Danio rerio: one gene and its partner. The protein of the gene in region 1 purifies or fractionates together with the protein of each later gene. This does not show direct contact. Links are inferred from orthologs where the notes say so. Each region holds a gene or a part of one and is shown on either strand. Other genes may lie near its edges.

Region 1 (3,525 bases):
AAATTTAGGGCTTAAAAAGTCCTAAATTCACTGAAAAATGGTGTTTTATGTCTTAAATACTTTCAAAAAGGGTGTTTATTTTCCTTGGTCCATGTAAAGCTTCATAATTGGTACAACCAACAGTCCATCTAATAAAAGTAAAATGTATTACTCTCTGTACCAATATGGTTAAATTGACTTCATTACATTCATTTGTTAAAGTTCTCCATGCATTTATGCAGAAATGTATGTTGTGATTAAAATAAGTTCATCATAGTTTTTAAAACTTACATTTTTTTAAAGAAAGGTTATGCTAATAAAATAAATATATGTATATAATTAGACTGCTTGTTTTGGCACACAATTTAAAATATATGGCTAAGAAATAACTGAAATTGAATTTAAATGGGGCAAGTAAAAAAAAATCCTTAAGCCTTTGCCCTGTAGAAGTCTGAAATTTCATTCATAATGGTCTTAAATAAAAAGGTCTTAAAGTCTTAATTTTGACTTTGTGAATCCTGCAAAAACCCTGAAAAAATTACTTTCAAGGGTCACAAAACCCTCCTGTTTCAGCAGGGTGTTTTCAGACTTCTGGTTTGGAAAAAGTCAGGAAAGTGGGAGTGTCCAGCTCTGTTTAGGGGGGAGTGTCGGAGGAGGGAAAGAGGGAAGGTGCATAAACATTAGCATAAAAATGGGGAGTGTCTGTTTGGGCTTGCACTGATTGCAAAACAAACACACAGACGCAGAGGAGAAAGACAGTGACTGTTTACATGGACATCAGCAATCAAATAATTTGACTAATTATTAAATGGTGGACTTTAACTGCTGTTTGGCTCTTTCATTCAGGAATTTCATTTATGCCCCTTGTGACAAATGAGATATTTGATTCGATGAACTGCTGTAAGCGTGTATTTTTAATTTAATGTTTGATACCCTCAGCATTTCTCTGTAATTTAGATGCACTCGGTAGGTAGCATCAAAAAGCCGTGTGTTATTCCTGTCACAAAATGTGACGAAAATCCTACACAAAGGTAATAGTTTGATTTCAGTGTTTACATGTTTACACTCGGAGAGCAGCATTTACAGCAGATCTTTCAGTCTATAGTATTGTAGTGATATTAACGTACTGTAAACTTAGTAACTTACTGAGAAATCATTTGACTAAGGTCTGTCTTTAAACACTGAAAGAGTACTGCTAACGATACGAACTAACTTTGCCATTTGAATAAACAAACAAAGACCACTGATCGCTTACTTACCAAATCTGTAGAGACAGGACAATCAACACCAACTGGGGCCGCGTCTTTATTAAAGGAGACAAGCTGCAAATCCGTATTTCAGCATTTCCAGATGAGAAAAGCTCTCGGGTAAAAAATGTTCCTTAGACATGTATTGTTGTCGCGTGCACTGTAATCCACACGTGAGTCCAGCTGCGCTCTCATAGAGGGAAAATGAAAACAAAAATCTTCCTTGCAGCAAATTATAAAAGCAACACTGACAACCCGTATCTCCAAACAATTCTTCTTCTCCCATTTGTTTTGGCAACACAACGTGGCGTCTCTGTGCTGTCTGAACACTGTACAGGTAAAAGCAGTCTTGGAAGTTACTATGCATATTAATAAACTTGCACCGCATACACAATAGAGCGCGCTGATTGGTTTGAACCAAGTCTTTCTCATGAATGAATGCAGCACACTCAGAGACGTCACAGACAGTCAGTCTACATGCTAGAATACATGCTAAGATCTTATGGCCGTGACGCAGCTTCAAAAATTTGTTTCAAACCGGAAGTACGAATTTGCTCGTAATAACGCAAAAACAACTGACTGATTTAATCTCTGTGTTTCAGACCGGTGGATGCTGCATCAGAAGGGACCAGTCCTGTCCCAGATTCTCTCTGGAGGCGTTACAGCGAGTTTGAGCTCCTTAGAAACTATTTGTTAGTCACTTATCCGTTTGTGGTGGTTCCACCTTTGCCTGAAAAACGGGTATGCAAACAAGATGCTTTGGCCTCTGCCGATTGTAAATGCGATTTGCATTCATATGCTGTAACTGTAACTCATACTTTGTGCAACAGGCGGAATTTGTTTGGCACAAGCTTTCGGCAGACAACATGGACCCTGACTTTGTGGAGAGGCGTCGAGTTGGACTAGAGAACTTCCTGCTGCGAGTGGCTTCACATCCAGTCCTGGCCAGGGACAATATCTTCTATTTGTTTCTCACTGAGGTAGAGATAACTCGCTTATACTGATGAACAAAAGGGTGTAGTCTTCTTGTATAAAGAATATACCAGTTCATTTAAAATGTCTTTAGTTTGTAGTCACTTTGCAGATGAAAATCCTGTCATCATTTACTCTCCCTTCACTTGTCACAAACCGGTTTGAGTTTTTTTCTTCTGTTGAACACAAAGGAAGATCTTTTGAAAAATGTTGGTAACCATTGAATCCCATAGTATTTATTAGCAAGTCAATGGTTTCTAACATTTTTCAAAATGTTTTATTTTGTTTAGCAAAAACAAGAAACGCAGAAAAGTTTGGAACCACTTGAGGGTGAGAAAATGGTGTGTACATTTTCATTTTTGGGGGAACTATCCCTTCAGTGAAGGGTGTATTTATTCTTTAAGTGTGAAATGTTGCAGTTAGAGCATGATAAAAAATCTTCAAATGTCCTCTCAATCCTACAGATGTTATGTTTAGTGTTTTAAGTATTCTGTGACCATCTGAAAATTGTATTATATCTTTTAAAAATGGTAAAATAGGACCTCTTTGTTTTATGGTTAAAGATCTGTAGATCTGTAATTTTTATTTCCATTATAGGTGAAATATAGTAGAATATAACTAGTTTATTTTTTTATTATTATTAAAATTAAATGACAGCCTAGTAGAATTAGAAATGTTCCATCACTGGGAAACATCCATACACACTCATTCACACACATACACTACGGACAATTTAGCTTACCCAATTCACCTGTACCACATGTCTTTGGACTGTGGGAGAAACCGGAGGAAACTCACCCCAACATGGGGAGAACATGCAAACTCCCCACAGAAAAGTCTACTGACCCAGCCAAGGTTCGAACCACCGACTTTCTTGCTGTGAGGCAAAAGAGCTATTCACTGCGCCACTGTGCAGCCGAATTTATGAATTAATAAAGATGATTTATTTCTTGATTACTCAACATAAATCGTTAAAAACTTTGGTGTTTGTAAAAAAAACTGTTTTTGAAAGTGTTTTGTGCTGCATTTACTCAAGCATGTAGCGAATGAGCATTGTTGTAAAATATTACATTTGGTCTTTTTGGTTCCTTTTTGTAATGTAAATATAAAAATGTTACTTATTCTTGTTATAATAAAGCTGAATTTTCAGCTTTACTTCAGTCTTCAGCGTCACACTGCTTCAGAAATCATTATGATATGCTGATTTAGTGTTTAAGAAACATCTCATATTATTTTGAAACACTGAAATTTTCTTCTTGCCATTTTGTGGAAACCTTGATTGCTACATGGTTTTCATCTTTGATGTAATAGTAGTAGTAAAACTTTA
Region 2 (3,525 bases), on another chromosome or scaffold:
GAATGGGAATTAAGGAAATGGAGAGAGAGAGAGAGAGAGAGAGAGAGAGAGAGTTTGAGAGCAGTGCTAGAGGGCTGGTCTGCCTTAAATAAGTTTTAGGGAGTAGGTGATTGGTTAAGAAGACAAATTGAGGTGTGGTTCCGCTGCTGAACTTTTGTTAACTTAATGTTATGATGATAGATAAACCAAAATTACTTGTATTTAATTATTTATGCAAGAATCTACACTATGCAGTGTTATTTTATATATTATTATTATTATTATTAAATTTCTGCTCCTCATCTATTACTGTAAACATATTTTCCTGTAAGCCATATCATGTCCATTTGGCTGCAAAAAAAAAAAAAACTGTTTGTTTGATGTCAAAACACTGGCCCTGTTTAGTGTTCATGATCCTTCATGTTTGCTTACGTACATGTCTTGTGCTTTTGGGTAGGATACGACTATCACAGACGGGAGCTCTTTCAACGCCTCCATGCAGACCTCACCAGCTTCAATGATCAACCAGTACAAGTTTGAGGAAGAAGAGGAAGATGTTGGCACCAAAGATATTTTCGTCACAGTCGATAACCCTGAGAGTCACGTGACTGCCATTGAGACATACATCACCTACCGGGTCATGACCAAGGTACAGCAGATCTGAACACAGATTCACCAGGAGCGACTTCTGTGAATAATTCTCTCGCCTTTTTCCATCGTTCTCCTTCATGACAGACCACACGGAGCGAGTTTGACTCTAGTGAGTTTGAGGTGCGAAGACGATACCAGGACTTCCTGTGGTTAAAGGGACGCCTGGAAGAAGCTCATCCTACGCTCATTGTTCATGTGAGTTAAATATAAGTTAGAATTCAAGTGTATGGGAGTGTTTAAATGTAAACTTTTCTCTGAAATTTCAGTTTGTGATGACCAGGTTAAATTTAGGAATAGGACGATAACTGGTTTCAAGTTTTACCACGGTTTGGAAAAGTCATGGTCTTAAAACCACAAAAATTTAGTTATCCCGTTCTGTGTTATATTTAAGGTTTTTTCCTCATGTTGTGTAGATTATCTTTATCAGACCCTTTGATATTTACTTAACACTTAGTGAACTGTTTATTAGTAATAAATCAAAAATTTTGATTTCTGTCATGTGTACAATTTAGTGTTGTCAAAAGTATCAGGTTCAGTACAAATCGGTACTGATATTTTAAAAACGTCCATTTTCTGCTTACATTAGAGCAGTGGTTGTCAACCATGTTCCTGGAGGATGATGAGTAGTGCTTTTACTTGCGCATTTAAAACCCTAACGTGTGATTGTGTCCCATCAGCCTCTGCCAGAGAAGTTTGTGATGAAGGGAATGGTGGAGAGGTTTAATGAAGATTTCATAGAGACCAGAAGAAGGGCTCTGCACAGGTTTCTTAACAGAATAGCAGAACATCCCATTTTCTCCAGCACTGAAGACTTTAAGATCTTTCTCACAGCTGCATCTGAGGTAAGGCTTTTGTTTTTTCTTTTTATCCATTCATCTCTCCCTCCGTCCATCCGCCCACCCGTCTGTCTATCTGTCTATCTATCAGTCTATCCATCCATCCATCCATCCATCCATCCATCCATCCATCCATCCATCCATCCATCCATCCATCCATCCATCCATCCATCCATCCATCTATCTATCTATCTATCCGTGTCTCCGTCCATCCATCCATCTGTCTGTCTGTCTTTGTCTGGCTATTCGTCTATCCGTCTCTCCGTCTATCCATCCGTCTCTGTCTATTTGTCTATCTATAACTATTCATCTATCCATCTCTCCATCCATCCATCCATCCATCCGTCTGTCTGTCCCTCTATCTGTCTGTCCGTCTATCTGTCCGTCTATCCATCTTTCTATATCTATCCGTCTCTCCGTCCATCTATCTATCTATCTATCCATCCATCCGTCTCTGTCTATTCGTCTATCTATAACTATTTATCTATCTATCTATCTATCTATCTATCTATCTATCTATCTATCTATCTATCTATCTATCTATCTATCTATCTATCTATCTATCTATCTATCCGTGTCTCCGTCCATCCATCCATCTGTCTGTCTGTCTTTGTCTGGCTATTCGTCTATCCGTCTCTCCGTCTATCCATCCGTCTCTGTCTATTCGTCTATCTATAACTATTCATCTATCCATCCATCCATCCATCCATCCATCCATCTGTCCCTCTATCTGTCTGTCCGTCTATCTGTCCGTCTATCCATCTTTCTATATCTATCCGTCTCTCCGTCCATCTATCTATCTATCCATCCATCCGTCTCTGTCTATTCGTCTATCTATAACTATTTATCTATCCATCTCTCCGTCCATCCATCCATCCGTCTGTCTGTCCCTCTATCTGTCTGTCCGTCTGTCTGTCAGTCTATCCATCTGTTTATATCTATCCATCTCTCCGTCCATTCATCTATCCATCCATCCGTCCACCTGTCTGTCTATCCGTCCATCCATCTATCAGTCTATGTATATCTATTCATCTATCCATCCGCCCATCCAACCGTCAACTAGTAACTACTCACTGGTCATTAAAACAGTCAACGCTTCTAAGATACTGATGTCTATATTTTTATTTATTATAAACACAGTTAAAACTGAAGGCAAACAAACCAATCAGTCAGTTTCACACACAACATAATCAAAGGACAACACATAAACAAAAGAATATACAAGCAATAATTTCTTTACTGTGTTAGCCTGAAAACCAGCACAGAGCTCGAAATTGTGACCGTTTTGTTATATATGCACCTGAAATTTGATCTATGCAACCTCATAAAATTGTTGCTGTGCGACCTGTTTTCACTGCTAAATGTTGACCACATGCGTGTGTTTAGAAGAAATGCATGCAGAATGCATTTTTGCACCAAAAAAAGGCAAACGCAGTGTTCAGGAATGGTTTAAAAGTTGACATGTCTATTTGCTGCAGTAAACCAATCCCTCAATGCTTGCCCCGCTTTCAAGCTTTTCCTATTGGCCCACTGCTATAGAACAGTATGCGAACGGATCGGTTAATGCCAGCTGTTAATCACTCAGTTTAGATGATAGAGAGCTACAGCCGCGAAAATGTAAAGGTCTTGATAATAGAGAATGAAAATAACATTTTCAGATTTTTTTTAGAAACCACTAATAAGATGTGCCATTATTGTAACTTGTTATCATGTGATGAACAATTCACCATTTACACTTTTCGAAGAATGGATAAAAGACTTCCAGTGGGTTAATGTCTGCTATGAAAATGACTAAAACATTCACCGTAAAGCCGGTGTGATGGAGTTTGCAGGTTTTAGTGTTTGCCACATCTACACATTTTAAGCTACGAGATGTTTTAACATTAACGTTAATCCTTCATTTAATCGTCACGATGCTGTCAGTCATGCGTTCACCGTTGCAAAAGAGCATGCATTCACTGAGATTAAACAAATATTGCAGCTCATGAAAAGACTGTTATTACTAATAAGATGACGTATGCAAACGATAAGTTATATGTGTCAATATCATCTGTGCAAT

Evidence for each region. The genes of interacting proteins can lie anywhere in the genome.
Region 2: the proteins of snx4 (region 1) and snx7 purify together in Homo sapiens (affinity purification with mass spectrometry; 3 studies listed by BioGRID and IntAct, counting the BioPlex papers as one, with this or other methods). This does not show direct contact. The link is inferred for Danio rerio from reciprocal best matches to the Homo sapiens genes SNX4 and SNX7.

The regions. Positions count from the first base shown.
Region 1 is NC_133184.1:40,310,871-40,314,395, forward strand, and holds part of snx4 (sorting nexin-4), read left to right. Parts: intron 1-1,828; coding exon 1,829-1,967; intron 1,968-2,056; coding exon 2,057-2,206; exon of another isoform or gene 2,207-2,536; coding exon of another isoform or gene 2,537-2,539; intron 2,540-3,525. UniProt on the Homo sapiens protein: Involved in the regulation of endocytosis and in several stages of intracellular trafficking. Plays a role in recycling endocytosed transferrin receptor and prevent its degradation.
Region 2 is NC_133199.1:34,405,993-34,409,517, reverse strand, and holds part of snx7 (sorting nexin-7), read left to right. Parts: intron 1-436; coding exon 437-628; intron 629-714; coding exon 715-825; intron 826-1,307; coding exon 1,308-1,472; intron 1,473-3,525. UniProt on the Homo sapiens protein: Involved in the regulation of endocytosis and in several stages of intracellular trafficking. Together with SNX4, involved in autophagosome assembly by regulating trafficking and recycling of phospholipid scramblase ATG9A.